4 linked regions of the Diceros bicornis minor genome follow. The protein of the gene in region 4 purifies or fractionates together with the protein of the main gene of each other region. This does not show direct contact. Links are inferred from orthologs where the notes say so. Each region holds a gene or a part of one and is shown on either strand. Other genes may lie near its edges.

The links.
Region 1: the proteins of VAMP8 (region 4) and STX8 purify together in Homo sapiens (co-immunoprecipitation; 5 studies listed by BioGRID and IntAct, with this or other methods). This does not show direct contact. The link is inferred for Diceros bicornis minor from reciprocal best matches to the Homo sapiens genes VAMP8 and STX8.
Region 2: the proteins of VAMP8 (region 4) and SNAP23 purify together in Homo sapiens (affinity purification with western blotting; 3 studies listed by BioGRID and IntAct, with this or other methods). This does not show direct contact. The link is inferred for Diceros bicornis minor from reciprocal best matches to the Homo sapiens genes VAMP8 and SNAP23.
Region 3: the proteins of VAMP8 (region 4) and STX3 purify together in Homo sapiens (affinity purification with mass spectrometry; 4 studies listed by BioGRID and IntAct, counting the BioPlex papers as one, with this or other methods). This does not show direct contact. The link is inferred for Diceros bicornis minor from reciprocal best matches to the Homo sapiens genes VAMP8 and STX3.

The regions. Positions count from the first base shown.
Region 1 is NC_080757.1:9,074,362-9,081,788, reverse strand, and holds the start of STX8 (syntaxin-8), read right to left. Parts: upstream 3,010-7,427; 5' UTR 2,957-3,009; coding exon 2,940-2,956; intron 1-2,939. Other genes in the region: CFAP52 (cilia- and flagella-associated protein 52), read left to right, coding at 3,803-3,872. UniProt on the Homo sapiens protein: Vesicle trafficking protein that functions in the early secretory pathway, possibly by mediating retrograde transport from cis-Golgi membranes to the ER.
Region 2 is NC_080744.1:40,079,843-40,087,371, forward strand, and holds the start of SNAP23 (synaptosomal-associated protein 23), read left to right. Parts: upstream 1-4,527; 5' UTR 4,528-4,613; intron 4,614-6,414; exon of another isoform or gene 6,415-6,579; intron 6,580-7,529. UniProt on the Homo sapiens protein: Essential component of the high affinity receptor for the general membrane fusion machinery and an important regulator of transport vesicle docking and fusion.
Region 3 is NC_080770.1:13,470,615-13,477,782, reverse strand, and holds the start of STX3 (syntaxin-3), read left to right. Parts: upstream 1-4,159; 5' UTR 4,160-4,301; coding exon 4,302-4,331; intron 4,332-7,168. UniProt on the Homo sapiens protein: Potentially involved in docking of synaptic vesicles at presynaptic active zones. Apical receptor involved in membrane fusion of apical vesicles.
Region 4 is NC_080751.1:4,416,351-4,423,673, forward strand, and holds the start of VAMP8 (vesicle-associated membrane protein 8), read right to left. Parts: upstream 3,022-7,323; 5' UTR 2,922-3,021; coding exon 2,919-2,921; intron 1,556-2,918; coding exon 1,397-1,555; intron 1-1,396. UniProt on the Homo sapiens protein: SNAREs, soluble N-ethylmaleimide-sensitive factor-attachment protein receptors, are essential proteins for fusion of cellular membranes.

The sequences.
Region 1 (7,427 bases), on a different chromosome or scaffold from region 4:
GTAAAGCATAAAATGGTAAAGATGAGTCGAAGCTAGTTTCTGCAGAGCCTTAAACACCAACCTAATAAGATTAGACTTATAAGAGAATTTTAGAGCTGTATGTAGAGCATAAAGTGAGGCCTTGAAGAGGTGATATGCTGACGGGCAAAATCTCAGGTGTCTTGCCACTGATCCTCATGTTCTCACTTTAGCCCTAAAAAAGTGGTTCTGAAACCTTGCTACATTCTGGAATAACTGGGGAATCACTACAAAACAAAAACAAACACAATTCCTGGCTCCCACCCCCAAGCATTCTGATTAAATTGGTATGGGGTTTGACCTGGACATGAGGAGTTGGGAAAGCTCCCCAGGTAATTCCAATCTGTAGCGAAGTTTGGGAACCACTGGCCAAGTGTTAACGGGCAACTTCATCAAGGTATCAAGAACACAGTGCCTAAAGTACTAGTTTAGGAAAATTAACCTGAACTCCATTTAGGTAAACAGTTGGGAAGGAGAGAAGAGTGGCAAGAGATCAGTAGATGACTTCTCCAGCTATTCAATTCTATAACCAGTCACCAGTATTTACTATCTGCAAGGCATAGGGCTATAAAGGATTGAACTATGGCAGAAAAAGACAGCAAAAAAAAGATGTCAAGAGATACTTAAAAAAAAAAAAAAAGGGCATTAGTGAAAAATCTGATATGAGGAGTGAAGGAAAAGTGGGTAATTAGTGTTTTCAGGCCTAAGTGACTAAGAGGATGGTGATGCCATGACAGAGACCAAGGAACTAGAATGGGGAAACTAAAAGAAGTTTCTAGACTAAGAACTGGGCCTCTGTTCTATCAGAAAAGCACTGAATATACAGTTAAATTGATATATGTATAAGATTTACTTTAAAAGACACAGGAAAAAAAAAAGTGTGGAGAGCAGAGATGAAACAAGAATGGCAGAATATTGATAATTACAGAAATTGAGTGATGAGTATAAAGGGGCTCATTATACTATTCCACATATATTTTTTATCTTTCATAACAAAACTTTTAAATAATAGACCAAAAAAAAGCCAACTAGAATATAATTTTTCCAGAAATGGTGTATCATCAACAAATAAGTTGCCCTAGCAGTAAAGCTGATTAACTTGAGCAAAGAACCAGTTTAGACAGTAATTACTCGCTACTTCTATTAAACAGTGAGCTTACTACTTGCTTTGATATGCCATTAAAATAGTAACTGCTACATTTCACTTCTCAACTTTAGAACACTACACAGGAGTAAAGCATCATTGACCGATGATTTTCAACAGCAGGAAGGCAAAGCTGTAGTCAAGTCTGTTTCTATAGGTTTTTCCAAGTCCCATTCCATACTCCTTTCTACCCTGCTGATCAGCAACCTACTTGGCAAAGAAGCTGACGCTAGCACAGCAGAGTTCCCCCACTGTTTCACTTTCAACAAATGAGAAAGCCACTAATTCAAACTACTTGAGAGTAACAGGAAAAATTATAAATGCCTTTTCAAAACTCACTGTGGAAGAGGCCTGGGGTCCAGTGATAGCTTCTGCCAAGCTATATGGATAACCTGGGGCCTCTAACTTATTTCTGAGCTTTATTTCCTACCTTATGTGTAAAGTGAGGGAGTTAGCTTCCAGGAGGTGGAGGGCAACTTAGCAACATGTATCCAGGGCCTTAAAAATGTTCATACCCTTGGGCCCAAGAGTTCCACTTCTAAGAAGTGAGCCAAGGAAATAAGACACAAAACAAAGGGGCAATCTCTGCAATATTAAAAAAACATAAACAAATCCCTAATATTAAAAAAAGGTACAAAGCGGGGAATAATTAAATTATGGTCATTCATATGATGCACTATAAAAAATAATGTTTAGAGTGAATATTTAGTGATAGGGAGAAATGTTCCCTGTTTTGTAAAACATATGAGTGTTTATATACATATACACACACATATATAAAGCAATAAGTTCATTTAAAAAAATCAATAATGGCTATTATTCCAAATGACTGAGTTAAATTTATTGTTTTCTCTGCAAATATTCAGTATTTTCTAAATTTTCCATCAGGGTGTTAAAATAAGGTGGAAAAAAATTAGTGTTAAATGAAGTAAGCTACCTGCCCAGATAACCTAAATCCCAGGGGTGCTAACTTTGATCTTGCAATCCATTCTCCTACTATCCAGACTGTCTGCCACTTAAACAATTATAAACTATATGAGAAGTACCAACATGAGGCATATAGTACAAGAACTTTACAGAGCTAGAATATGTTTTTAATTATGACAGACAGTGTCTGTCATCACTCAGTCCCTGGGACTTAACTGATGAATAAAGGACCGCTATCAGCTACTGTTTTACTGCAAAAGTTGCTGCCATAGAAACAGTCCTCATGATACTGACTCAGATAACGGTAAAATGCCTTAAAAACAAATGCATAATTTCCCTCTGATATTCCTAGAAGTTTTTTGAAGGGCCCACAAGTTCTAGGTCCTAGCGCCAACTGGTTACTAACTGGCTGGTGACCAGGGATTCTGAACCTCCGTTTCTCCACCTGTGAAATAAGGGGGTTCCCCAGATGGACTGGCACTGCACAAAAAGGTTACTTCGACTTCCCTTTCACAGGAGTCCAGGGAAGCCTGCACCGCCAGCTCCACAACCAGGATGGGCGGGAAATCTCCGCGGCAAGGTGCAGCCGGGAAGGGCTAAAGGAATGTTCAGAGATTCGACACCATTCCTCAGCTCCCCACGGGTCTACTCGGTCTCCCTCCTGGGCCACCCCGCAAGGACCGAGGGTGGCAGAATGCGGCAGAGTCCCCCTCAGCTGAGGAAGGGTCCTCGCTGCCCCTCCTCTCATCCCGAATGACCTCCAGACCGAACGCCTAGCGGTCGCCCGCTCCCCAGAAGCCCGGCCTCCCCCCACAGACTCTCCGCGCGGCCGCCCCCACCCGGGGCTCACCAGGGGTCCGGGGCCATTGTGCAGTCTCCGCCCGCTCCTCGGACACTTCCTGCTCGCAGCAGCTGACTACGGCGGCTCGCGCGGCTCATACTCCGCGGTTCCACCCGTGCGCGACCGAAACCTGGAGTTTGCGAAGGGAATCTACACTAGGGCCTCAAAGCTCTGATGAAGAAAGGAAAGCGCTGACCCAGGGAACAGTAGGTTGGAGCATTCTGCTCCCGCCGAGATGCCAACAGCTGGGCGCAATTAAAATAAAATTGTTGTTGAACAAAATCTAAGCATTTTCCCGGAAACGGGGGAGCGCCTCAAGACCTCTAGCAGTTACTTAAAATTTTCTCCTGCTTGAAACAATAACAAAAATAAACAAACAAAAAACTGGTTGTCATAGATGTACAAATGTATAAATTTACTAAAACTCACTTTAAGTGAATTTTATGATATGTAAATTATACCTCAATAAAGCTTTAAAAAATTTGTTTTATCCTGCTTCGAACAAGGGACCCAAAGAAGTAGCAATTACATACTATTTTATAGCAGCCTTCCCATCAAAGGCAATCCACCATGTTTGATTAATTTTTAGATGCCATTAGGTGCTTGATTATATAGGTACCAAAAAGGTCACAGACTCTTTATTTAGGGAGGAGGGAATTAGTTCTGTGCATTTAGTGCCCCCTAAATTTCCAGAGCGATAGAAAGGAAAAAGAAGCCCTCTTCTCGTTTCCGAGAGAGTAAAAGACCAACTCCGCAGAATGGGTTTCAGCGCGGGCGGGGATCTGGCGCGCATGCGTACGTCTGTTACCATAACGACCAAAAGACGCTCCATCGTCGGAGGCTGGGAGGAAAGTGAGCCGAGTGTCCGGGTGATGGAGAACCAAATTTCGCCCAAAGCCGAGGTGGCGGAGCTGGAGCTTGAGGCTGTGATTGGCTTCAACGGTGAGGCCTCGAGCATGTCTGGACTGGGTGGTTTAGCAAACCCGGGGACGTGTAGTGCCAACAGGAACAGTGAGACACCAGGTGGCACCTGGAAGGCAGTGTGAGACCCTGGCATGAGCCCTGGCCAGGGCCAACCGCCAGGGCCCCAGCCAGCCTCTCCTGTCCAAAGGCCATAGAGAGTCACTTCCTTGCTCCAAGCCTCAAGAAGGGGGATGGTTTTTGCCGTCACCTAAAAGAAACCAAATTCCTCTTCGCCGGGCCAGAAAGAAAGGATAGTTGTAACCCTTCTCCCACTAGGTCAGCCCTCCCTGGCTCTAAGCCCCATGCAGCCCGCAAAGCTGCCTGCCCTTCCGTAACCACCGGATTACAGAGTCCGTGTCGGCCCCCGGGACCAACTAACTTCTAAAATCCCAGCTGATGTACTGAGAAAGGGCTGGGGAGGGACCGCTTTAGAGGGTAATCTTGTCCTCTAAACCGAAGGAAGGATTCTAATGGTGAGCATTTCAGACCACGATAGAAGGCGAAGAGGACGCCAGGGGGAGCTGGAGGAGAGAGATACTTTGGTCAGAGGATGCCTGGCGGATCTGCTCAAATCTTATTTATGACTGCTTGTGGTTTTGAACGTTAAGGGGGAAAATGCTGTTTGGCTTTTTGTGAAGGATGAAAACAAGCAATTGGTTACATTTTAGAAAAAGCAAACCTTTTTTTAAAAGTACATTGTGATGCCTGAAAGCTTTAAAATTGTAATAATGTAGATACAGAACAATCAATGACAAATTTTAAGCACATTCTAGGACTTGGCTCTTCATTTTACCTTGATGTCTCTAATTGACAGTGGGCACTTAGTACATCTGAGAGATCAGCCACCTTTAGAGCCGGTTACAAGATCGTTGGTAAAGGATCTGAGTGCAGTTAGTGCAAAGGGCCACGCTGGGGACTAGTGTAAAGGCTCCCGCATAGAGCTCTGCGACTGAATTCATGCTGTTTGGTGGAGCTCTGAGAGTAAATATGTGGTCACTTCCATCCGGATGTCTTCCTTGACAATTACTACTTATCTTGGCCTTTTATTATTTTTTTTAAAAGCATACGCCTTTATTTTTTATTTTTTTAACTTTATTTATTTATTTTTTCCCCCAAAGCCCCAGTAGATAGTTGTATGTCATAGCTGCACGTCTTGCTGTATGTGGGACGCGGCCTCAGCATGGCCAGAGAAGCAGTGAGTCAGTACGCGCCCGGGATTCAAACCCGGGCCGCCAGCAGCGGAGTGTGTGCACTTAACCGCTAAGCCATGGGGCCGGCCCATCTTGGCCTTTTAGAATGGCCCAAATTGAATTGTTTTTACCTTCATTTTGTGACAATTTATATTCTTTTGTATAATCAAATATACATTTATTTAGAACCACTATATGCCAAGTAGTATGCTATGCACTGTGAATACAGGGATAAATCCATAGCCATACTTAAGAAGAGGAGTTTAGAAAATTGAAAAAATACAGTGAAACCAAAAGAAAAATCAGCCATCATTACATTTCCCAAAGATATCACAGTTAAACTTTTGGTGTGATCCTTTCAAATATACACTTACATATAAATATATTTTTTTAATAAAAACAAACTTATGCTGTATATATTATCTTGTAATCGAACTTTTTTTCCACTTAACAGTATGTCATGTAAATCTTTCCTTGGCAGTAAATATACTCTGTCCCATAATTTTTAATATATTTTAATATGATATTCTGTTGCACAGATGTCATAATTTATTTAAACAATGCCCTGTTATTAAGCATTTAGGATAATTTCCATTTTTTCCATTTATTTTTAAATGCTACAAAGAACATCTGCACAGCTAAATCTTTTAACTCTACCTTTTTTCCTTAGGTCAAATTCTGAGTACATCTTAAAGACTTTTGATGTATCCTCCAAAGGCCATATTATACACAACAGAAATGTGTACCAAAAAAAAAATATATGGGAATATTTATAGTAGCATAATTTCAAATAGCTAAAAACTACAATGAAAATGTCCATCAAAAGTAGAAAGGGGGGCCGGCCCAGTGGCGCAAGCGGTTGGGTGCGCGCGCTCCGCTGCGGCGGCCCGGGGTTCGCTGGTTCGGATCCCGGGCGCGCACCGAAGTACTGCTTGGTAAGCCATGCTGTGGCGGCGTCCCATATAAAGTGGAGGAAGATAGGCACCGATGTTAGCCCAGGGCCGTCTTCCTCAGCAAAAAAAGAGGAGGATTGGCGGATGTTAGCTCAGGGCTGATCTCCTCACAAAAAAAAAAAAAAAAAAAAAAAGTAGAAAGGACAGGGGCCGGCCCGGTGGCGCAAGCGGTTAAGTGCGCGCGCTCCGCTGCGGCGGCCCGGGGTTCACTGGTTCGGATCCCGGGCGCGCACCGACGCACTGCTTGGTAAGCCATGCTGTGGCGGCGTCCCATATAAGGTGGAGGAAGATGGGCACCGATGTTAGCCCAGGGCCGTCTTCCTCAGCAAAAAAAAAAGAGGAGGATTGGCGGATGTTAGCTCAGGGCTGATCTCCTCACAAAAAAAAAAAAAAAAAGAAAAGTAGAAAGGACAAATAAATTGTGGTCTATTCATACAACAGACTACTCTGCAGCAATGAAAAAGAATTAACTACAGCTACACACAACATGGATAGAGCTCACAATCATAATGTTGAATGAAAAAAGCCAGAAGAAAAAGAATACATACTGTATAATTCCATTCATTTAAAGTTCTAAAATGAGGAAAATTAATTTACAGGAATAGAAATCAAAACAGTGATTACCTTTGGGGAGATGTAGACTGGGAGAAGGCACATGGGGGACGTCTGGGGGGTGGTAATAATCTACTCCTTGACTTGGGCTATAGTTAAATAGGTGTATTTACTTGGTAAAGTTATTGAGTTTTCTGTATTTTTGTCTTCAATGAAAACTGTTTACTTAAAAAGTCTATACTACCTCTCAAAAACAAATAAGCAAAGCTTTATGAAAGCTTGGGAGAAAGATTCTATTCTAGGCTTGAGTGAAGTCAAGGAGGAGTTAATTCAAATAGTCTTTAAAGTTGAGTAGGAGTCAGTGAGTAAAGACTGAGAGGCAGAATATTCCAGATAGCAGGAATAGGGTGAGCAAAGGAGGAAGGTGGAGAGTGTGGTGCCTGGTTGGGGAATAGCAAAAAGCCTGGTGTGGCTTAAGTATCAAGGACTGACCAGATAACACAGCAAAGAGAGCCTGAGATTAGATTGTGGAGGCCTTAAACGCAAGGTAATTGAGTTTTGCTTTCACACAGAAACAAATTAGAAGCAAAAGCAAAGCCTTTTTTATCATTGTGCTGCTAAAACTCATTGTAGAGTTACATGATAGTTTATGAATTTTAATGAGGGTGTAAATATGTAACTGCACTTGACTCTTCTAGGCATTGTATTTTGACAGGAATTTATTATTTAAGCAAACCAGATATAGTAGTGTTGCTTATGAAAACATTTTATAAAGCTATAGTCATTAAGAGTTTGGTATTGACACAACAGTCACATTCTTCAATTGACTGGAGTAGATA
Region 2 (7,529 bases), on a different chromosome or scaffold from region 4:
AAACACACAATATGTACACTTCTCACTGAGCCATTCCTGGTCCCAGAACCAAGTCGGCTAGCACCCACCATTATTCCTTGCTTCTCTTCTACAGTAGTCTTCAAACTACATGTGCTCTAACCTAGATCTACAACAATCACAATTCACAGTTTTTCCTTTCTAAATATGTTCCTTTTAATCAAAGCAATTGGTTCCAAACTAACCTGATCAGACTCCTTCACACTTTCTACCTCCTTCCAAGCCACTGTGAAGTTCTCTTCAAAAACCATCTAGTAAGTACCTTTAAAGGCTGCTACCACTTTCTAGACTCAATAGTTCTCTACAAACTGTAATTGGAATGCAGTTGCTTCTCAGCAGAAGTGCTTGAAATATCTAACTTGGTGTAGCAGCAAAAAGATTAGCTTTGGCACTGTATGTGCATTTCACTACTTAACCCTAGCTAAACTAGCTTAAGCAAATTACCATCAAACTCTCAGCGACCTCATCTAAAATGTGCTCCAAAAAACCGCCTTCCGTTACAATATCTCATTAATTTTTTGTGACAGACCTGAGTGTATCTGTGGTAGGTGAAGTAGGTGCTAAATAAATCCTAGTTGAATCTAAATATTATCTTCCATTATTTGATTCACGACTAAAGTTGAGAAAGAGCTTAAAACTAATTATAAGATTTCCTAAAGGGTTTAGCACAGTACTAAGCTCTTAGTAAGTGCTCCAAAGTTATTCTGGCTTGAGTAAATTCGATATAAACCATTATGGTGGATAAAGCACTCTCTTGGTAGGTAAGAGAAGAACTTCCCTTAACCAGGATGGCAGTCCCAAATTGCTAAGAGTCATGGAAATCTCAAACTTCCCAACAAGATAGCTTAATCTCAAAAGATGGTTCTGACTCTCAAAGATAATTAAATCGAGCAGATTGAAGGGGGAGTGGGGTGCAAAGCATTTCCTCTCCATAATTATGCACCCAGATTCGGACTAAATACTAAATTGACACATAGTAAGCGCTCCATAATTAACAGCTATTATTAAGACGCATCCCATAAGGAGAGAAGACGGAAGAAGGAAAAAGAACGGAGGCTGTAAGTCACAAGTGGTCGAAAGGTGTTCCTGGCCGGAGACCCGTAGGCCTTTAAGCACCCTGACTCTATGGGCTCCCTGCGGCACCAAAGGCCGAAGGAGGTCAGCGGCCTCCCCTAAAGGTCAAGGCTCTGCCGCCACGTTTCCGGCTGGGAGCAGAGCCGGAACGCCCCCGCGAGAATCTGTACCGCGAAGCCAAAAGCACCGCCTGCCCGTAAACCCGCGCGGCTCGGGGAGAGGGGACGACCGGGTTGCCCCTGCACCGCGGCCTGCAGGAGCAGAGATCCGGCCGCGTCCTGCAGCCCCAAACCTCCCTAAGGGGCAGACCACCAGGACCCTCGGGCTCCGATACGCCTCAACGCAGCTCGGCCCCTCGATACTCACACTCACAGGCGACCCCTCTTACTCCATCAGGCCGCCGAGGCCCAGACGAGGGAGCTCCCTGACGCCCCAGACGCCCCCTCGGTTTGGGGCCCGGCGGCCCGCTCCGAACCGGCTCCCCTCCGGGCTCCGCTGCCGCCGCCGCCGCCAGCGCGCAAGCGCACACCGCCGCCGTAGAGCTCCCCTCTCTTTTTTTTTTTCCTTTGAGGTCCGCCTTTCTCAATAATCTAGCTTTATTTGAACTCACGAAAGTGAACAACGGACACAGGGGGAAAAGGGTTTATGTACTCTAAAAGAATGGGAGAAGACAAAAGGCAGGCAGGCTTGCGAAGTTAGTCCGCTGCGCTGCACGCTCCTGTGAGCAGCCTCCCGGTTCCTTCTTCATTCTCTTTCTCTTTCCGGGCCTCGCTCTTGCTCTTAGTCTCTTCCTGTCTCCACCATTCCCTTTAGGCGGTGGCAACTGTTGCCGCTACATTGCCAACCACTCCTTCCTTCTAAAATTTACTGAAGCTTAATGGAAGGTGCAAGAGCTTTAGAACACACAGACCTGAGTTCCAATTTTTTTGACCTGGATACTAGTACTTTGTGACTTTGTGTAAATTACAAATTTTCTTGGAACCTCACTTTCCTCAGAGTTAAAATTAGGATATCTCTCAAGGTGTTGCTAGGATTAAATGACATAACATAGGTCAAGTGCCTATCCATAATGGTGCCTATCAAAGAGCAGATAATCCATTAATACTAATAATTACATTCTTATTAATACTTAATGTATTTATATTATATTAATTATTAATATTAATTTATCTTAATTATATATATTAAACTTAGCCCATACCCATTCTCTCGGGATCTTATTTTAGTGACTAAAACTAGTGAGATAAACCAAATTACATTAAGGTTGATAATTTGTGAAGTGTTACTCCTCCTATATTGTTGAACTTCTAATAATATCTATGTTTAACAAGACCTTCAATGCCTCAGATCAAAGTAAGCAGCTCCCTTCATCTCTGTGTAAATCCAGATTTGCTTCTAGAGGATTGAGGAACTATTCCCATTCTGTGTTTGTGACATCACAAGTCCTTGAAACACTCAAGGTCTGAGGTATGCTGCTCATTCTACTCTCCTTTAAAGGCAAGCAATGGAAGAACTGCTTTACCCTATAAGCTCTGGACCATAGTCCAACGAAAAGCTTGTAGAAGACCAAGGTCAGCTGTTGGTGAGCGTCAAGGTAATCCTAGATCATGATTTCTCAACCTTGCCTTGGCACTATTGACATTTTGGAGATAGTTCCTGTGCTCTCCTGTGCATTTTAGGCTATTTATCAGCATCCCTGGACACCAGATGCCTGTAGTGCCCCCTTACATCCCCACCCACCCACCATCTTGATAATCAAAATGTCTCCAGACATTGCCAAATGTCTTCTGGAGACCAAAAAAGGAAAATGTCCCTGGTTGAGAACCATGGCATTATGCCAGTGACCATCCCAACGCTAAATGAACTCAACCATACATTTTCTCCACTTCTACCTCAAGAAGTGATTACTGCTTGAGAAATCTATGCAGGAGGGCAGAAACTGGTGAGTTCATTTTTACCAATCTTATACAGGCCCTCAACATGGCTTACCAGTTCTACTACTTTCCTCTGGTCAATTTGCTCTATCACTTTCTACAACATTCCAAATCTTCTCCACTTTCTTAAAATTCCCAACTCCTTTTCTATCAGCAGATGACCTCATCTCCTACTTCACAGAGAAAACAGAGGTGATCAGATGAGAACTTCTTTAACTTTCTGTTACTAAACATACAAACTTACAGACACATACTTCCTCTCATTATAATTGAGAAGATCTCTCTTCTAAGACTGTCCCCCCATCAGTGCTCTGGATTGCCTCCATTCTTACCCTCTGAAGATCTTTACCTACTAACTAGCACTTCTCTTTATTCAACTGTTTTTTCTCAGTTGCATATTCCCTATCATGCTTAAGTTTCTCCTGCCTTAATTCTAACAAAAAATCCAAGAAATAGAAACAAAAAACTTTGACCCCTTGTCATCCCTTTCCCTCCTACCCTCAAGGCCAAACTTTCCAAAAGCTTTCTACAACCTGTCCCCATTTCTGTATCTCCTCTCTCTCCAAACTACTGCAATCTATTTTTCAACTTCATCCCAACAGATAGCTTTCGCTAAGATCACTAATGATCTCTGTGTTACTAAATTCAAAAGATATTTCTCAGGCTTCATCTTCCTTGACCCCTTAGGAATAGAATATTCCCTCTTTAAAGCATTTTTCCCCCCCAGCACTGTGCTTTATTTTTAGAGGTGCCTGGAAGAGTTCCCAGACCTGCTTAAAACCCTTCAGTAGCTCTCAGTGATCACAGTATAAAGTGCAGGGTCACTAGTCCAAAAATGCAAGACCTCCCAAGATCTGGCAATTGCCAACTTTTTAAAGCTTATTCCCCCTTCACCTGGAGATATACGATGAGCTCTAAACCTCTAACCAGGATGAACTACAAGTAATTTCCAGAAGGCGCTATGTTCTTCTTGGCATACGCTGTTCTCACAGTCTGGAAAATAGTCTCTCTCCCTCCCGGACTTCCGGGGGAACTCCTACTTATCCTTCATGACTCAAAAGTCATTTCCCCCGGGAACCCATCCAGCCACCCCTAAGAATAAGGCACTGTGTTCACTGTGCGCCAGCGGCGCCTCGGATTTTCTATATGCCATGCACTATATTCTATCCACTATAATTTATTTACATATCTATCTCCCAGTCTAGACAGATCAAAAGACCCTAGAGGGCAGGGAAGGCATTCTATTCGCTTTCTTTTCCTCAGTGTTCATCCCGCACAGTGCCTGGCGGTTTGCCCTCAGTACGGTACATGTAAATGTTTGTTGCTTGAACACTTCCCACCTACAAGCGGGACTCGAATTATCCGGTTAACGGGTGAGTCCCCAGGCTCCTCGCCTGCGTGGCAGGGAGATTTAAACCCCCCGCACCGTGATTGGCTCCAGCTGCAGGGGTGTGGCCGCACCCGCGGCGCCGGGGAAGTGCGCAGGCGTGTGAGGCCGGCGTGCGCAGGCGCAAGAAGGGGCAGGTCCCAGTCCAGTCTGGGGGTGTCCGAGCTGCCGAGGCCGCAGAGGAGTGGCCGAACTGCGTGGTGAGTCTCCAGGAGTGGGGCTGAGGGAGCTGGCCGAGGTGAAGGTTGGGATCGTATCCGAAGGAGAAAGAGTATATCATGACGGTTGAAAAGTTGGTAGGATCGGGCTTTAGGGGAGGAGCGGGGCTGTGGCTCGGACTGGGCAGGTCGGGCCCGGAGCGAGGACGCGAGGCGCCAGGAGACTGTCGAGAGGCCGGCACAGGCAGGGTGGCGGGATGGTGGTTCTCTGGACCCTTTCTTGAAACCGAGCGGAGGTAAACTCTCACTCCCTCACCCCCGACCTCCACAGGTTTGCTGTGGTCGGGATTAATAGACTGTATGGTGACCACAGTGATCAGATAACTGTGAATTAGTTGTCTGAAGAAGATCTCTGAGGTTCATGGCATTGGCGAGTCCATGCTTTCTAGGAAAGTACAATCTTACCTGTTTTACTTGGTTCTCTCACGTTCTTCCGTAGCCTGGAAAATACCACACTTGAAATGCATGAGGCATCATTAGCTAGAATACTCTGAGATCTAATCTTAAAATGTCTCATAGTAAAATTTTTAAAAATTAATATTTTTGCCACCAGCAAAGTTGATGCCTAAGGCATTCAGTGATCCTTGTCATTTGTTCCTTTGGCAAGAGGTAATGAAAAAGACCGCATTCGTATAAATACTAGCAAATATTAGGAGAAACAGGAGAAACACCTCACATTACCATTCTCTTTTGACAGGTCATGTGAAAGTAAATAAAATGATCATATAACTTAGCCTACAGCTTAAATATTTATCATTGTTGCTAGGGCTTTTTTTTTTTTTAAGTGCTTGTGGTATGTGGATATGCACTAGAAAGTTGCTGTTATCTTAGTTCCAGAATAGGACTGACTTATTGTGCTATTATTTTCTTAACCTTATTACACTGTTTCCTATGAACAGTAGAATATCTGTATGGATCTTAGCCTTTGTTTCTTTTACTCTAAAAGAACTTAAGTATACTAACAAGCTCACTTAACTAAAGGTCACATTTTTTCTAATCATTCAGAACACAAGCTTAAATCAAGAAGAAAGCAAACAAACAACAAAACAGGCCCTGTTGCTCGTGGAACAGCTGTCAGTACTTCATTTATCATGAACCATACCACCATCATAAATTTTGCCTTTTAGAGGATCGTCTGTGTTATTTTACTTCGTATTTTTAATAGACTTTTTTTGAACATTACCCTCTTCCAAAGTGATAATCTACGAAATCCTGGTCTTGTATTTTATAATACTTTCTAGTTTTGTGTATTTTATAATATTTTTTCTAGTACACATTATAATAAATACATAACTATTAAGTACATAACTATTGCTTATATAACAGCTAAAATCATCTCTTGTTGTTGCTCTGCCCTTTGGAAAATACTGTTTTGGGTCTAATCTACTCATTTTTAAAATGAAGTAAAGATTGGACTGCCTAAACTCTAAGAACTTCAAAATTCTGTGAGCCCTGTGATGGCATTCATTATTGTTAACGCAGTTCTAGCAAACTTACTTATCTGGTTTTACCAAATGAAAGTAGATTGTAATAGCAAAAGAGAAAAAGAGGATGTTTGCTCTTTGACATTTTTGTGAAATCAGCTGCCTTTCATTTTTTTTTCTTCTGAATTAAGGCATTTTCTTTTCCTTCTTTGGTTCCTATGTCCTAAACATTCTGGAAATCTGTTTTTAGGTGTATTTGTACTCTGCATTGTATGTGTTAGTTAGCATTTATAATATATGATGTTGCTTGCATTCAAGAATGCTGAACTTTTTATTCCAGTGCCATGTTTTGTTTCCAGGTCTGTAGATTGACAGAGGAGTTGATGACAAGGACTGGTCTTTTCTTTGTCATGGTGGGTAGAGGCTTGAAACAGATGGATCCAGTGCCTCCAACAATTGGAGGAAGTGGATTGTGGAGCCAGGAAACAGCATGTACTGTTCTTTTTGTGGTATTGGGGTTGGAGGTGAGGTTCTGTTTGCACTCATTTAAATTCACTGACAGTTTGATTTTGATTCAATTTAGGTTTTATTGCAACTAAAATATTTAAATCACTGATCTCTATATTTTTCTGAAATTCCCTCATCTTGTTGATTTTTGTGAGTTCTGTAACTTGGATTTAAAGTTTGTTTTAAATTTATTTTAACAATGTTTTGACAACTGAGATTTCCTTTAGATGGCCTCATGATGCTTATAAAATAAAATCCACACTTCTTGGTATAGTGTACAAAGCCCTTCACAACCTGTCTCCTGTCTGCCTTTTAAAGCAACCCTGCCCCCTCTATATACATGCACACACATACACACGTTATATTCCTGCATGACTACTGAGGCCTTACATTGTGACACTTCTTTGATAGTCTAAAATCACAATTTTTGTTTTGTTTTGTTTTTTGGTGAGGAAGGTTAGCCCTGAACTAACATCTGTTGCCAATCCTCCTCTTTTTGCTGAGGAAGATTGGCCCTGGGCTAACATCCATGCCCGTCTTCCTCAACTTTATATGTGGGACGACTGCCACAGCGTGGCTTGATAAGCGGAACGTAGGTCCGTGTCTGGGATCCAAACCCCAGGCCACCAAAGCGGAGCGTGCGAACTTAACCACTGCGCCACTGGGCCAGCCCCTAAAAATCGCAGTTTTTAAAAAAATTGATCTTGCTTGGATTTTGATTCCCAAGTCAAAAACATGAGAGATATTTAATAATTATTGTGAAAAATTATAATAGCTTTATTGAGCACTGTGTGCCAGCCAGAGTTCTAAATGCTTTGCATGAATTAGCTCAATCCTTGTAACAGCACTTGAAGTAAGCACTATATCCTTATTTAATGAGAAAACTGAAGCACAGAGAAGTTAAGTAATCAGTAGTCAGGATTTGAAACCATTATGCCTCCAAATATTGGGCACTTAACCACTACAC
Region 3 (7,168 bases), on a different chromosome or scaffold from region 4:
GCCTCCAGCCAACAGCCAGTGAGGAACTGAGGCCCTCAGTCCAACAGCACTTGAGGACTGAATCCTGCCAACAACCACGTGAGTGACCTTGGAAGCAGATCCTTCCCTAGTCAAGCCATGAAATGAGACTGTCCCAGCCAACACCTTAATTGCAGTCTTGTGAGAGATCTTGAACTAGAGGCACCCAGCTAAGCTGCACCTGGATTCCTGGATCACAGAAACTATAGGATAATAAATGTTTGTTGTTTCATGCTGCTAGGTTTTAGGGCAATTTGTTACGCAGCAATAAATAATTATTACAAACTTTAAGAGGGGGAAAACTACAAGTCAGGAAGTTTATTCTTCATCCTGGTTATTCTCCATCCTCCCTGCAGTGGGGAAGAATTGCTGTGGGGGGACAGAAAGGATCTTCCCTCCAATTCTCTAGCTCCGCTTATCTCTTTCTACTGAACACCACATCCTAAGGACAGTGCTTCAAACGTACACCAGACAGAAAGTGGTCTCGCCTGTTCCACAGCAGGCCCTGGAGGTCCAGATGAGGTGAGGCTCAGTCCTTTTCTCCAGTGGGGAAGAAATAGGCTTAGAGGAAGGAGAGAGAGGGAAGTGGAGCCCCCAAATCCCAAGATTCTCTCTTTGGTTTGTTTGTAAAGGTGAAATTAAGTGTTGGCTGATTTATTTATAACCAAAATGCAAACACTTGAACTAATCCTGACTATGTTTAATGGGAAAACAGGCTGAACTAAGATCTAGTGTGTGGAAAAGCAAGTACTACTGTGGGGCAGAAAAATGAAAATACATCAGAGAGAAGGGGCTCCTACTGATCCTGGAACCTTAAGTCACTGTCCACCTACATGGAGACCCCATAGTCCACCTGGGTTCAATATCAGAGTCTTCCTCACCAGCCATGGACTCCCTTTGCCCACGTCCCTTGTCCCACAGTAACTTGACTTTCTTCAGTATATTGTACTGGATCCAGTACTGGATCCAGACTTCTGCCTGTCAGGAATGAGCAAATATTAATATATTAGTATCAACGACATAGGATTCATACCTAATAGGAGTTTTAAAGAAGGCTTGAAGTCTATAATAACCACCATCAAAAGAATGCCAGAATAAAAGAACTCTGCTGATCTTCCCTTCCTGGGGTCCTGGATCCAGCTGCAGTTGAAAGAGTTCTTTATCCTGTTTTCAACGTTTAAAAAGTTTAAGGGAATCATGTAGTCATTTCTGTTATTGCCACATAGGCTAATCAAAAGGCCATTTTTTTTCTTCATAGAAACATCTTCTCATAGGAAACCAAATTTCTTTTTTGTTTCTCAGTTTTATTGAGATGCAATTGACATAAAACATTGTATTAGTTTAAGGTATACAATGTAATGATTTGATATATATATATAGTGAAATGATTGCCACAATAAGTTTAGTTAACCTTCATCTTAACCTTCATCGCCTCACATAGTTACAAATTTTTTTTCTTGTGATGAGAACTTTTAAGACCTACTTTCTTAGCAACTTTCAAATATACAATACGGTACTGTTAACTATAGTCATCATGCTGTAGAATACATCCCCAGATATTTGTACCTGTTGACCACCTTCACTGGTTTTGCCCTCACCCCCCTTTCCCACCTCTGGCAATCACCAGTCTGTTCTCTGTATCTATGAGTTTGAGGAAACCAAATTTCTTATTACCCAGTAAATATATTCTGTTAGGGATATGGAATCTTTCAAAACAAGAGATCCACGAATGAAAATAAAGGATACGTGATATTCTTGATCTCGAAAAGTCTGTGAATCATTAGTTTTAATCAGCTTCCTTATCTGAAAGATGAGAAAATAGATTGTGTGAGGTTAAGTGACAGCCGGTTTGTGGCAGAAACTCTGCTTCTAGAACTCAGGTCTCCTGGCTATGTGTCCAGCAATTGTTCTGCTGCCCCATAACAACTCTCCCTTCATGGAAAGCCCATCTTGTGAAGGACAGATTAAATTTCTTACATGTTTAGACAGGGGCAAGAAGCAAGAAATAGCGGTGGAAGTTACAAAGAGGAAAATTTTTGTTCTGTTTAACAAAAAACTTTTTAACAACAGTTGGAACTGTTCAACCAGGGAAGGAGCTTCCTTAAGAGTGTTTGGAAAAACTGTGAAAAAATTAAAATGGCAAAAAAAAAAAAAGGAAGATGAGTGGGTGTCTATGGCATGCTAGGCTTTGTCTAACGCACCTTTCTGGGTTATCTGATTTTATAACGGTCTGTGCCTTTGATGGTCTTGTAGCTATTTTTACAATTCTGTAAATTGTAGAAAACTGATAGTAATGCAAATGATTCTTGTTCATAGAGATGCAAATGAAATTTTCCTGGTGGAGCTGCAATTCATCTTCCCTGACACCCAGAAGCTAGTTTTACATTTATTAACACATTCATTTCAGAATTCCTGGTTGCTTATATAAATGTATCTGCTCTTTGGGGTCTCCTCTGAACCCAAAAGAGGATTCCCTAGTTACTTAATGAGTTAAATAAAATCTTTGATGTGTGCTCATTTTATAGTTGTATGAGAGTCATGATTTTATCCTTTTAAAAACAATTATCTTTTGCCGGGAGGCCTAGGGTGTTTCTGCCCTGGATGTGTTCAGACAGAGGCTGAATGGTCATCCTTGATCCTTAGTACAGACTCCTATGGTTCTTTTCAGACCTGTAATGTAAAGAATTGTTCACATATCTGTCTCCCTAAGGAGAATCTCTTTTCCTGAAGCGCGAGGACCTAGCTATCCCCACTAACTAAAATTTGTTAAGGGAAGGAGGTGGGATGTGCGATTTCTGATTTACTCACCTTTTCCATTTAGGACCACCAGGGGGCGGAGTAGCCTTCCTTCCCTTTACTAAGGACGGGAGACTCCACCTAGTGCGCGCCTGGGGTAGAAGGAAGCCTCCAGGACTAAAGAGAGAGGATCAGGGCTGAGAAGGGCAGGGTTCCACCTTCCCGATCGCGTACAGACGGTGTCTTTATGGGAGGCAATGAAGTCAGCATGGAGCAGGCACTCAGATCGCAGAAGAGGGCAAAGTTCTGTTAGAATTATGAAAATATTTACAGTCCTGTGACCTGAATGCATAGAGCACCTTCTCTTCCTGACTTGAGAATTGACGGCCGCATATGTCTGCTGGATATGTCATTTGTTCCCAAGAAGGAAGGCAAACAAGGAAGAGGGAAGAGAGGGTAGGGGTGGGGAGAGGAGAGGGGATAAACAGGGAGGGGCAGTGCGAAGAACCCGCCCACCTTTTCAGAGGGTACACCCACCTGGGATCTTGACACCACGTAGGAAATGAGAATGGCTTACGCTTTCCAATACAAACATCTATCTCACAACGCTGCTCTATAGGTGACGAATCAGTCACCCCTCCTCTGTCACCCAGGCCTCACAGCAAACTGTGAATTGGGTGTTATCTCTGATTTATTGATATGGAAACGGAGTCCTCTAGAGAAACAGCGCCTTTCCCAAAGTTATACAAATTGCTATTGGCAGGTGTTCTGACTTCAACACTGAACTGCTCGCATTTCTCTGCGGAGTCCCGATTGCCAACATGATGAAATCCAAATGCTTCGTCCCAGCCCGTCCCGTCCCACCTCATCTCTGGTTATTTCCTCTAGGAACGTCCTCTTTCAGATCCAATATGCAGTCCCCCACACTGTTCAAACTCCGTGACTTGGAATGCCCTTCCTCCAGGCGGAATTAGTTGCTTTTTCTCCCACCTATTATAGCACAAAACACACCGTCTTAGAGTTCTTTGTTTAGCAACGAATGAGTCTGTTGAGGCTGGATCCGAGCACGGAGCCTGGCACAGGTAGTGAATTGCTGTCGAATAGAAAGGATGGAATTGAGGTCAAACAGACCCCCTCGCTCTTCCTCGGCCCTGCGGCGGCATCTACCAGTGCCGGACCCTCTCCGCGGATTTCTCTGGTCCCTCGAGGGACCCGGGCTAGGGGAGGTGGAGGGAGGGCCGCCGAGGGCGGCGGGGCGCGGGCCCTTTAAGGAGGAGCGCGGGGCGCGGCCCAGGTGAGGGGCGGGTCTGCGGGCGGATCAGCGCTGCGCGCCGGCGCCGGCCCGGGAGGCGGATTCGGAGCGCGCGGCGCCGGCGGGGCCGGAGGGGGCGGCGCGGCGGAGCTTCTCGCGGCCTGGGACGCTCCTCCTCGCCGGCGGCCGCCGCCCTCCTCTGCCTGCGCCTCCAGCTCGCTCGCCCTGGCCGGGCCCGGCTGCGTCTTCCGGCCGCTCACCTGGGACGCGCTCACCTGGGCGCCGGGGCAGCAGGATGAAGGACCGGCTGGAGCAGCTGAAAGCCGTGAGTCCGCCGCCCCCGGGGCCGGGTCCCGCCGGGGGTGCAGCTGCGCGGGAGAGGGGCTTCCCTACCTTCGCCAGATCGGCGCTGGAGCGGGGCCGAGCGCGAGGCCTGCCCTCCCCAAGCCCCAGCGGCATCCCGCGCGCGTTCCGCAGCCTCCCCTCCCCTCTGGGGTCGTGTGCCGGGTGATTCCTGGCTAGGCTGCGATTTCCCTGGATGACAGCGTCTGTCCAGAGCTGGGGTCCGCGCGGGGTGCTTGGGCCTAGCGGAGCTTTCTGTGGGGTCAGGGGTCACCTCAGCCCTTACCCACTGCAGCCTGGCACTGTGCCCAGGACCAGCCTTCTATCTCCTTCCTTGTCTCCCGAGCCGGCTGCCCTCTCCCCCGGAAAGCTCCTGGGTGACCTCCGGAGCTGTGAGCTGGTCACGTGCCAGGATGGTGCAGCTCCTCGCCATCCGGCAGTCTATAATTATTAATTTCTCCTGAATCCTCAGGACAGCTGGATAGGGCAAAGGATCTGAAGGTAGACCGCCTCCAGCCCTGCCGCACAAAAGCTGTAAATCCTTAGGCTGCTTATTCTTTTGAGCCTCTGTTTCCTTATCTGTCAAATGGGGATGATCATACCTTAGAGATTTGTTATGAGATCAAATGACATAATAACCCTCGATATAGAAAAGTGTCAAACGTGAGTTTTTGAGTTAGATATTCATTGACTCATTCAACAAATAATTATTGAGTGCTGTCTAGGGGGCAGGCCCTGTGCTAAGCCCTGGGGATTGGGTGACACAGGCTCTGTCTTAATGGAATGTAAAATCTAGCTCTTGATACAAAGTCTTCCATCTACTTGGGAGCTTGGTAGAAATGTAGAAGCTTAGACCCCAGTCTGGACCTACAGAATTAGAATCTGATTATTCACAAATCTCCCCAGTGATTCGTGAGCATTTTGGGAAGCAGGGGGCTGGATAGAACTGGGGTTGCCTCCTGGCTCCACTGCTAACTAGCTCTCCTTTAACCTCTGAGTCTAAGTTTTCTCATCTTTACAATGCGTGGTTGTGAGGACTAAAAGCAAGAGAGCGTGCAGAGCCCTTTGGATGGTGCATGACACATATAGGGCGAATAGATGGTAAATATTATGCTGAGAACTGTAAAAGCTCCTTGGAAAAATACAGGCCTCATATGAGTGTGAGGGACTCCTGGGATGATGTCGCAATTGTTTTTCTTTCTCCTCCCTCGTCTTGGGCGAGACCTTCATGACCCTTTCACCTGCTCTGGGTAGTAGGGCGATGGGGAAGTGAGAGAAGCAAAGGGACAGTTGCTGATTGTGGGGTGAGCCTCCCTGCCTCCTACATGTCATCTGAGCCTCACAACATCCCGGTTACGGGGCAGAATTTATGGCCCCTATTTTTCTAGATGAGGAAACCAGAGCTAAGCCTGGGTAGGCAGGATGCTGCGGGTCACAGAGCTGGTCAGGTCACAAGCAGGGGAGGAACCCAGACTCCTAACACTCTTCATGGTGCTCTTTCCCTGTAGCATGCTGGTTGGGGAGGCAGAAAGGAAAGAGGACCATGGCTTTTGAAGATCTTCCCTTATCAGCACACGCAGCAGTCATAAAACAATGCAAAACTGAACAGCAGGCAGAGGCGGCTCCCTTCCTTTAGTTAGGAAATCCATAGAGGAGGATACTCCACGGCCCCTTTCAAAAGCCCATTGTCAACAAACAGCAAAGAGTCTTCTCTGAGCTTTGGGTTCCAAGTATAAATTCAGGTTGCCAGGGAACCCAGGCAGTCCCTTTGCTTCTCCGAGCCTCATTCACCCGCTGTAAAACTGAGCTAATGCTCTGTTTCCTCCCTGCACCTCTTGGCGATGTGGTGAAAGTGAGACTATAGACGGTGCTGTTATTATGGGGGTGCTGTTCTCAAGTCATGGGTGCTGCTCTAGCGTTTTGGAGCAGGGAGATGGGTGTTGACACTGTGCAAAGAGGACTGGGCTGCAGGTTGAAAGGGTTCTAATTGTGGCTCTGCCACTTAATAGCTGTGTTGTTTTGTGTCACTTTACTTCTCTGCTTCTCTATTCCCCCTTTGCAAAACCAAGAGTTGGGTTGATCTCAGAAGCCCCTCCTGGCAATATTAAAATATTAATGTTTTCCAAGAAGACTGTTGTTAAGGTTTATATACATTTTGGTTTCTAGTTCACCTTCTGCCCCTTTCCTCTGGCCCCCAGGAGAGAGATCGCCCTCACTACAACAAGATTACTATCTTCTCTCTTTGATTCCTTTTATCAACGAAAGGCAAGGCGTTTGTTAACAAGGCTTTTGTTAACTCGCATCAAACTGATTTTACATTGAGCAGCCTGTGCAATCTCTTTCTGTGGGATCTTTCTAAACCCTGGGGGAGGGGAGGTGATAACTACCTCCAGATAGCTGGAGGGCTGTCATGCGCAGGAGATTAGCTTTGCTCTGTGTGGATACAAGGAGAAGATGTGAAGTTGATGGGTAGAAATTAGGACTCTGTGGAAAGCATTTTTACTGGTCAGAGCTGCCCGAGGATGGGATGGGCTGGCTGGAAGGGTCGTAGTCCCTCAAGTCTGGGAGGGAGGCAAGAAGCTTGCTGGGATGTTGAATGTTGTAGGAATTTGAGCATCTCTTTGAGGGAGGGGAGGTGACCAAGGAGATTTAAGGCCTCCATCATCCCTGAGGATGTGTGGTTCTCTAAAATTCTTCATTGTTTGTGACCTTATCCTAAGCACTGTGAGACTGTGGCGTCCATAGGACTGAGGTCTTAGAGTTGCACCTGTAAAGTGGATCATCATACCCCCCCCCGTAGGGTCATTGTGAGGGTGATGA
Region 4 (7,323 bases):
TGCTCTTCCTCTCCCAACTGGAGTGGCAGAAATTAAGTTTCCCTGGGCCATGCTTCCCAGGTTAGGTTGTGGGAAGAAATACTAAGTCCCAGGGAGAAAAAGGAGCTCTATCCAAGATTACACAGGACCCAGAAAGCCATAGCTAGACTCTTGCCGTGAACCTGGAACCTTAGGCTCGAGCTTTTGTTGAACTTTAGAGTTACTCCCTTCCTGAGCCGCTGGCTGGAGAGAGAGAAAACTGAGATCTAGCAAGATGTGTGGGGCATATTCTAGCCTTCACCTAGCAGTGGGCCCCGGATCAAAGGCTTTCACCTAGCCTTTGTGATTTCCAGCGCTTTCTCCAGCCGGCTCAGCAAGACTCTAACACCTTTCCACCCCTAGCCTACCTAACAACTTCTGGAGCAAGCCAAAGGCCCTAGGATGATTTTCCAGAGCCAATACATATTTTTTTTTGGTGAGGAAGAGTGGCCCTAGGCTAACATCTGTTGCCAATCTTCCTCTTTTTGCTTGAGGAAGATTGTCACAGAGTTAACACCTGTGCCAATCTGCCTCTATTTTGGTTTTTATTTATTTATTTATTCGTGAGGAAGATCAGCCCTGAGCTAACATCCATGCCAATCCTCCTCTTTTTGCTGAGGAAGACCAGCTCTGGGCTAACATCTATTGCCAATCCTCCTCCTTTTTTTCCCTTTTTCTCCCCAAAGCCCCAGTAGATAGTGGTATGTCATAGCTGCACATCCTTCTAGTTGCTGTATGTGGGACGCGGCCTCAGCATGGCCGGAGAAGTGGTGCATCGGTGTGCGCCCGGGATCCAAACCCAGACAGCCAGTAGCGGAGCACACGCGCTTAACCACTGAGCCATGGGGCCGGCCCCCTCTGCCTCTATTTTGTATGTGGGATGCCACCACAGCATGGCGTGATGAGCAGTGTGTAGGTCCGCACCCAGGATCTGAACCTGTGAACCCCAGGCTGCTGAAGCAGAGTGCACAAACTTAACTACTATGCCACCGGGCCAGCCCCACCAAAGCCAATATTTTTGCCCTGGGAGGTCAGGTCCAAATGGTTGTCAAGGGCAGCCTTCAAAGGGAAAATCGGTTTCACAGGAGAGAAGCCCAAGAATGCACGGGCTGACTGAGCCATCTGTCTCAGAAAATACCTCCAGGGGTCAGGCCCTACCCCCCAACCACAGTCATTGTACACATTCCCTGGACCCCAGTGCCAATCAGTGGAGTAGAGTAGAATCAGAAGTGGGGACTCAGCTCACTTCAATTCCCAAAACAGGTGAAAAGGCAGACTTCCCTCCTGCTCATTTTGCCCCCAACACCACCAATCCCTAAACCCCCAACGACCCTCCCGCACTCTCTTTTTCTAGCCCCCAGTGAGCTCCCCATCTCACTGTGGCTTCCAGATCTTCTGTCTTGTGGCGGAGATGGTCCAAGTTTTCTCCTCGGGCCAGGATCCGCTCCACATTCTGGGTCATAATATTCTTGACTCCCTCCACCTCACTCCGCAGGTTCCGCACATGATCATTTCCATCGCCTCCACTGCCTTCCTCCTGGGCAGCAACACAGGGGTTAATTGGGCCAAGTGGTGGAGGAACTGATAGCCTCAGAGGCTAGAGGAGGGGAAGACTTAACATGGACTTTAGTGTTCTGTAAAGCTTGAACTGTTTACAAAGAGAATGTTTTCACGTCTCACTCATGTAATCAAAAATAAATGCATTTTTAAGCCCCAGAGGATGAGAGCTGTTGCTAGACAGACTAGCTCAAACTTCTTTTTGGGTTCTCAGGGTCCCTGACAAGGAAAAGAAGCACACCACTGAGACCCTCTCCACTGCTTCTTTGCTCCTCGGAGAGGGTCAGAGCAGACAGCTGAGCTGGCATCTCACGATGCAAAACCCCGCCACCATTTACCAATTCCCAGATCCCACAGGTTCCTTATTAAAAATGTCTGTGGGGCCAGCAGAATTCCCTCACCTAGCCCAACTCTCCCTCTTTCCAAGAAAGCAGCTGGAGAGCAGCTCTGCCTCGGGCCTCCTGGGCAGCCTAATTGCTGTGACCCAGGCCAACAGCGACTAGGCTCCAAGTCCCTCACAAGGCCCCAAGAGAGAGAGCCGTTGGGCCACAAACTTCTGCTTTCCCCACCACCTAGCACCATGCGCAGGCACCACGCCACTGCTGCTGAAGCAGATATTAAATAAAAGCAGCAGCCTGGGCACTGGGGGAAATACAGGGCAAGTCTTCCCTGGCTGAGGCCTCATCCTCAGGCTTCATGATAAGGTTTTTAAAGAAGGAGGCAAAACGTTATCAAGCTCCTCCCTCTCTGACCCACAGGACCTCCAGAAACAGGCCAGGGGTGTGGGCCAAATTAGATTATCGCAAAGAACCAATTTCTGGTTCTTTTACAAACCCTTAGCTCTCTTCCTCATGTTTATGGGGGGGAGCCAATTCCTTGGACTTGTGGAGAGACAAATTTTGGGAGTTTCTGTACAGGGATAAAGTGAAAGGCAGAGGGGAAGAGCTCCCGCCGCTGGGCTGGAATCTGCACTGGGAACAGCAGAGGCGCTGCCCAGGAGTGTCACAACAGCAGGCCGGTCGGCCGGCAGGCTGGAGGAGAAGATGAAGGAAGGGCCGCTTGCTCAGCAACTCTCTGCCTGGAATTCGGATCCCCCACGCCCACCCACCGAAGCACTGCTCCAGGCCAGCACTGAGGTCAGGGGAGGGAGTATAGAAGGAGGAGGAACACCCGCCCGTGCAGCTCAGAGCTATTTGCAGCCAAGCTGTCTAAGAAGAGAGGCCACAGTCAGTGCTGGCCCAACCCTCTGACATTGCCACCAACTCTCCTTTCCCGATCCCCAGCCCCCAGCCCCCTCTGGCTCATCTTTAAATCAGCCCCTTTCTAGTTCCCAGCTCACTCACCATGTCTCCGAGCAGCTGGGGCCCGTCAGCGGCAGAACTTGCCTAGTCTGTTTCCTCCTGGGGCGGCCCTTGGTTCACTTCCTGCTTGCTCCAACTTTCAGCCCGCCCCCGTCCACCTCTCATCCTGAGCCTGCTCCAGCCACACCTCACACAGGTTCCCCTAGGTAGGCGGACACCCTCCACTGCCCTTCTAGTCTCCTCCCAAACCAGGGCTTAGGCTTAAAGCAACAGGGCTCCCCGGCAACAAAGGTCTTTTAACTCGTCAGGAACAAGAGAAATCAAGCAGCCCTCCTAGGTTTCCTGAGGCTGGGCCTCCTGATATAGAAAGGGCAGCCATCTCCTTTTTTTATGTCCTGAATATCTGAGTCCAATTCTTAGAGACGGAAATCAATCATAAGCACCCTGCCAGGCCTAGTTCACATGGAAACAGAATGCAGATATGAACATTTTTTGCTGGACAACCCTTGTTCCCATGTCCATGGGTGGACAGAAAGCACTAAAACCCCCAAATGGAATGCTGTGATCCTGGGCTCTGGCATCAGATAGCTCTGGGTTACTAGCTGCGTGACCCCAGTGAATCTCTTCACCTCTCTGGGGTTTTGCAGGTGCTGATGCTGACCTCAGAGGGTGGTGGTGAGCAGTAAAAGGGTAGCACATGTAATGTGCCTAGCACAGTGCCTGGACCGAAGGACTGTCCACTGTGCAAATTGGGAAATAATGGCTCCTTTCCTTCCAGAATTCAACAATCCTGCATTTCCCTTCAGGGGCCACCATGGGAGTTGGTGAGCCCAGTCAGAAATGGTCAGAGGACTGCCCTATAAACCAGAGAGGAGGCCCAGGGCAAAGGATTTTTCCACCAACCGGGCTCCAGGCCAGAGAAAATCCACTCTTCCTGGATGGTGTTTATCAAGACAGAAGAACAGTAACAGAGACGTGCAGAAGGGAACAAACATTCCTGTCCCATCCCAGTTCCAAGGGGGAGATGTCAGCTTCCCTCACAAATTAGACATTTTTTAAAAGGTCTAATAAAATTAGATGATTATATTTTGCAGACCTGAATTTTGGTGGACAGTACCAGCCTGCTTTCACAGAGAATGTGGCTGCCCCAATCCTCACCATCCTTAGAAAGGCTACAACATGGCCAAGTGGAGGTAGGTCTGAATCCTTGATCTATCCTTGCACCGTCCAATACAGCAGCCACTGACCACATGTGGCTGTTGAGCACTTGAAATGTGGCTAGTCTGAATTGAGATGTGACATAAGAGTAAAATACACAACCGGATTTCAAAGATTTATTATGTAAAAAAGAATGTAAATATCCCATTCATAATTTTACATGACTTGTTGAAATAATGTTTTGGATATATTGGGTTAAATTTAAAAAGTTGATAAAATTAATTTCACCTGTTTCTTTTCTCTTTTAATTTGGGTAGTAGAAAAATTTAAATTACAAATGTGACTCAAATTATATTTCTTTTCTTTTTTTTTTTTTTTTTTGGTGAGGAAGACTGGCCCTGAGCTAACATCCACGCCTATTTTGCTCTTTTCGTATGTGAGACGCCGCCACAGCACAGCTTGATGAGTGGTGCGTCGGTCTGCACCCAGGACTCGAACCTGTGAACCCTGGGCCACTGAAGCGGAGCATGCCAACTTAACCACTATGCCACCTCGCCAGCCCCTCAAATTATATTTCTATACTTCTTTAGACACGCTGATCTGCCTTAATATTTCTGTGACCTTGGATGGACTTACGTAACACTCTAAGCCTCAGTTACCTCCCTGTCTGTGCCTGACACTTAAAACTCCCTCAGTAAATGGTGGCTGTTGTGATTACTATTATTAAGAATTCCAGATGCTAAGTAAGGTGGTGGATAGGGGAACATGAGAGGTACCAAGAACAAAGGACCAGAGTAGGAGGACTGAGGGGAACAGGAAGAAATGGAAGAGGAACCCCAGGGTGGGAATCTGGTTGAGGAGTTACTATGGTCTGACATGCAACTGCCAGCCTTGGACATACATTGGTGTCCCTGAGGGAGCTGACCCTTGGCCTAGACCCAGCAACCATCAGGGAGATTCCCAAGTGCCCACAGTTGGGCCTGCAACTTCTTCACCTTCATCTTCACCATGCAGAATCCCTGCAGGCTTGGCCTCACCTGCGCAAACATTATAATGTTACCCTTTGTCAGAAGACCATCTTGCTAACACCCTCACAAGGTAAGACATTCAGTGAGACACCGAACAACATTTCTGCTATGAGCAGAAACAGTCCTGTGGGCAGAGTACAAGAAGAGAAATGAAAGTCATTGATTCCTCTACAGTCAATGAAGGCTCTATCTCAGGAGAAATGGAGTGTCAGTAGTTGTAACGAAAAGATGCTAGGTGGTAGGAGTTGCAGCCAAAGAAGCCACCATAGCGTGATGGAGAGTGTTCTCAGTCCCTGTGTGATCAGAAGATCTGCTTATCAGCTCTATTACTCCCTGGCTGTGTGGTCTTGGGCAAGCCACTTCCCTCTGGGAGCTTCAGTTTCCCCATCTGCAAAATGGGAATAAGAATGAAAGAGGAGCAGGGGCTGGCCCGGTGGCATAGCGGTTAAGTGCACATGCTCTGCTGCGGCAGCCCGGGGTTCGGATCCCGGGCGCGCACCGACGCACTGCTTGTCTAAGCCATGCTGTGGCAGTGTCCTATGTAAAGTGGAGGAAGATGGGCACAGATATTAGCTCAGGGTCAGTCTTCCTCAGCAAAAAAGAGGAGGATTGGCAGATGTTAGCTCAGGGCTGATCTTCCTCACAAAAAAAAAAAAAAAAAAAGAATGAAAGGGGCTGGTGGCTTAGTGGTTAAGGTTGTGCACTCCACTTTGGCGGCCTGGGGTTTGCAGGTTCGAATCTCAGACATGGACCGATGCACCACTCATCAGGCCACGCTGTGGTGGCGTCCCACATACAAAATAGAGGAAGACGGGCACAGATGTTAGCTCAGAGCCGATCTTCCTCACCAAAAAAAAAAAGAATGAAAGATGCTTTGCAAGGTTATTATTAGGATTAAATGATATAGGTGTATATTTCTATATTTCTGCTAAATCACTTTACAGATGAAAAAGGAGACTAATAGAGAAAATGGAATGAGAAAATAAGGGAAGAAGAAAATTAACAGCCTGCAAAGCAACCAGGCAAACTTTGGGGTACAGTGGTATATATCCCAGTCTTCTTATTTATGGCCCAAGTGGGCAGTTTACTCCTGTACCTCTCAGGGAAAAGGCTATAGAACAAGGAAAAGGCACAGTCAGGAGGCTCAACTGGAATTGCTTCCTGAAGAATCATAACGCTCTCACCACTGCCAAGGCCTCTTTTATCTCCAAATCCCTCTTTGTAGACTGTCACACAACTGGCCACCCCATCTGTGACACAGTCACCCCACATCTCTCCCAATGCGTTCTCTTCCTTTCTGACTGTGTTCTTAGAACACAAAGGTTCTGCCCTTGGCCATCTTCTCTGCTGACTCCATACTCTCTCCTAGAGCAACTGTTCTCTACCGGGTTGATTTTGCCCTCAAGGGAACATTTGACAACGTCTGGAGACATTTTTGGTTGTCACAACTAGCGGAGTGTACTACTGGCATCTAGTGGGTAGATGCCAAGGATGCTAAACTTCCTACAATGCAAAGGACAGCCCTCTCCACAACAGAGAATTGTATAGACCAAAATTTCAATAGTGCCGAGGTTGAGACACTCTGTCTCCATAGGGAAGTGCAACGCCTTTATGTTTGTAACACCTTTTTACTTTATGTGTTGTAACACCTTTTTACGGACAATCCCCCAATCTGTTACCTCCAACCCTGACCTCTCTTTCAATTGCCATTGCTTCCTTTCCGATGCCCTGCACAGTCCATAGACACCTCCAACAGTCATCTTACACACGCAATGGGACATCACTAAGTCTTGATTCCATCTTCGTCATGTCACTCATATTCACCCCCTCCTTTCTACACCAGCTCCTGCTTCCTAGGTAATGCCAGCAGGATCTCTTCTCTGGACAATTCCATCCACCTCCAAACTGACCTTTCTGTTCCCATCCATTCCTCCTGGGGCTGCTTATTATCTTCCCAAAACACAGATTTGCATATGCTCCACCCTGGCCCCAGGGTAAAGCCCAAATTCCTTACCTTGGCATTCCAAGACTGTTCTTAACCTGCTTTTCAAAGCTTGCCTACCATGAGACTCGCCTCTCAGCCCCTCAATCATATCAAATTACATGCCCTTCCCCAAACACGCTATCCCTTTTTATATCTTTGCTCAAGTGGACCTTTCTCATGATGAGCGAATATCCTGTTTCACTCATCACAGCCTATGGAAAGTCCATTTATATTTAAGACATTGCTTCCTTGAAGGCTTTCAGATTTCCCCACTGAA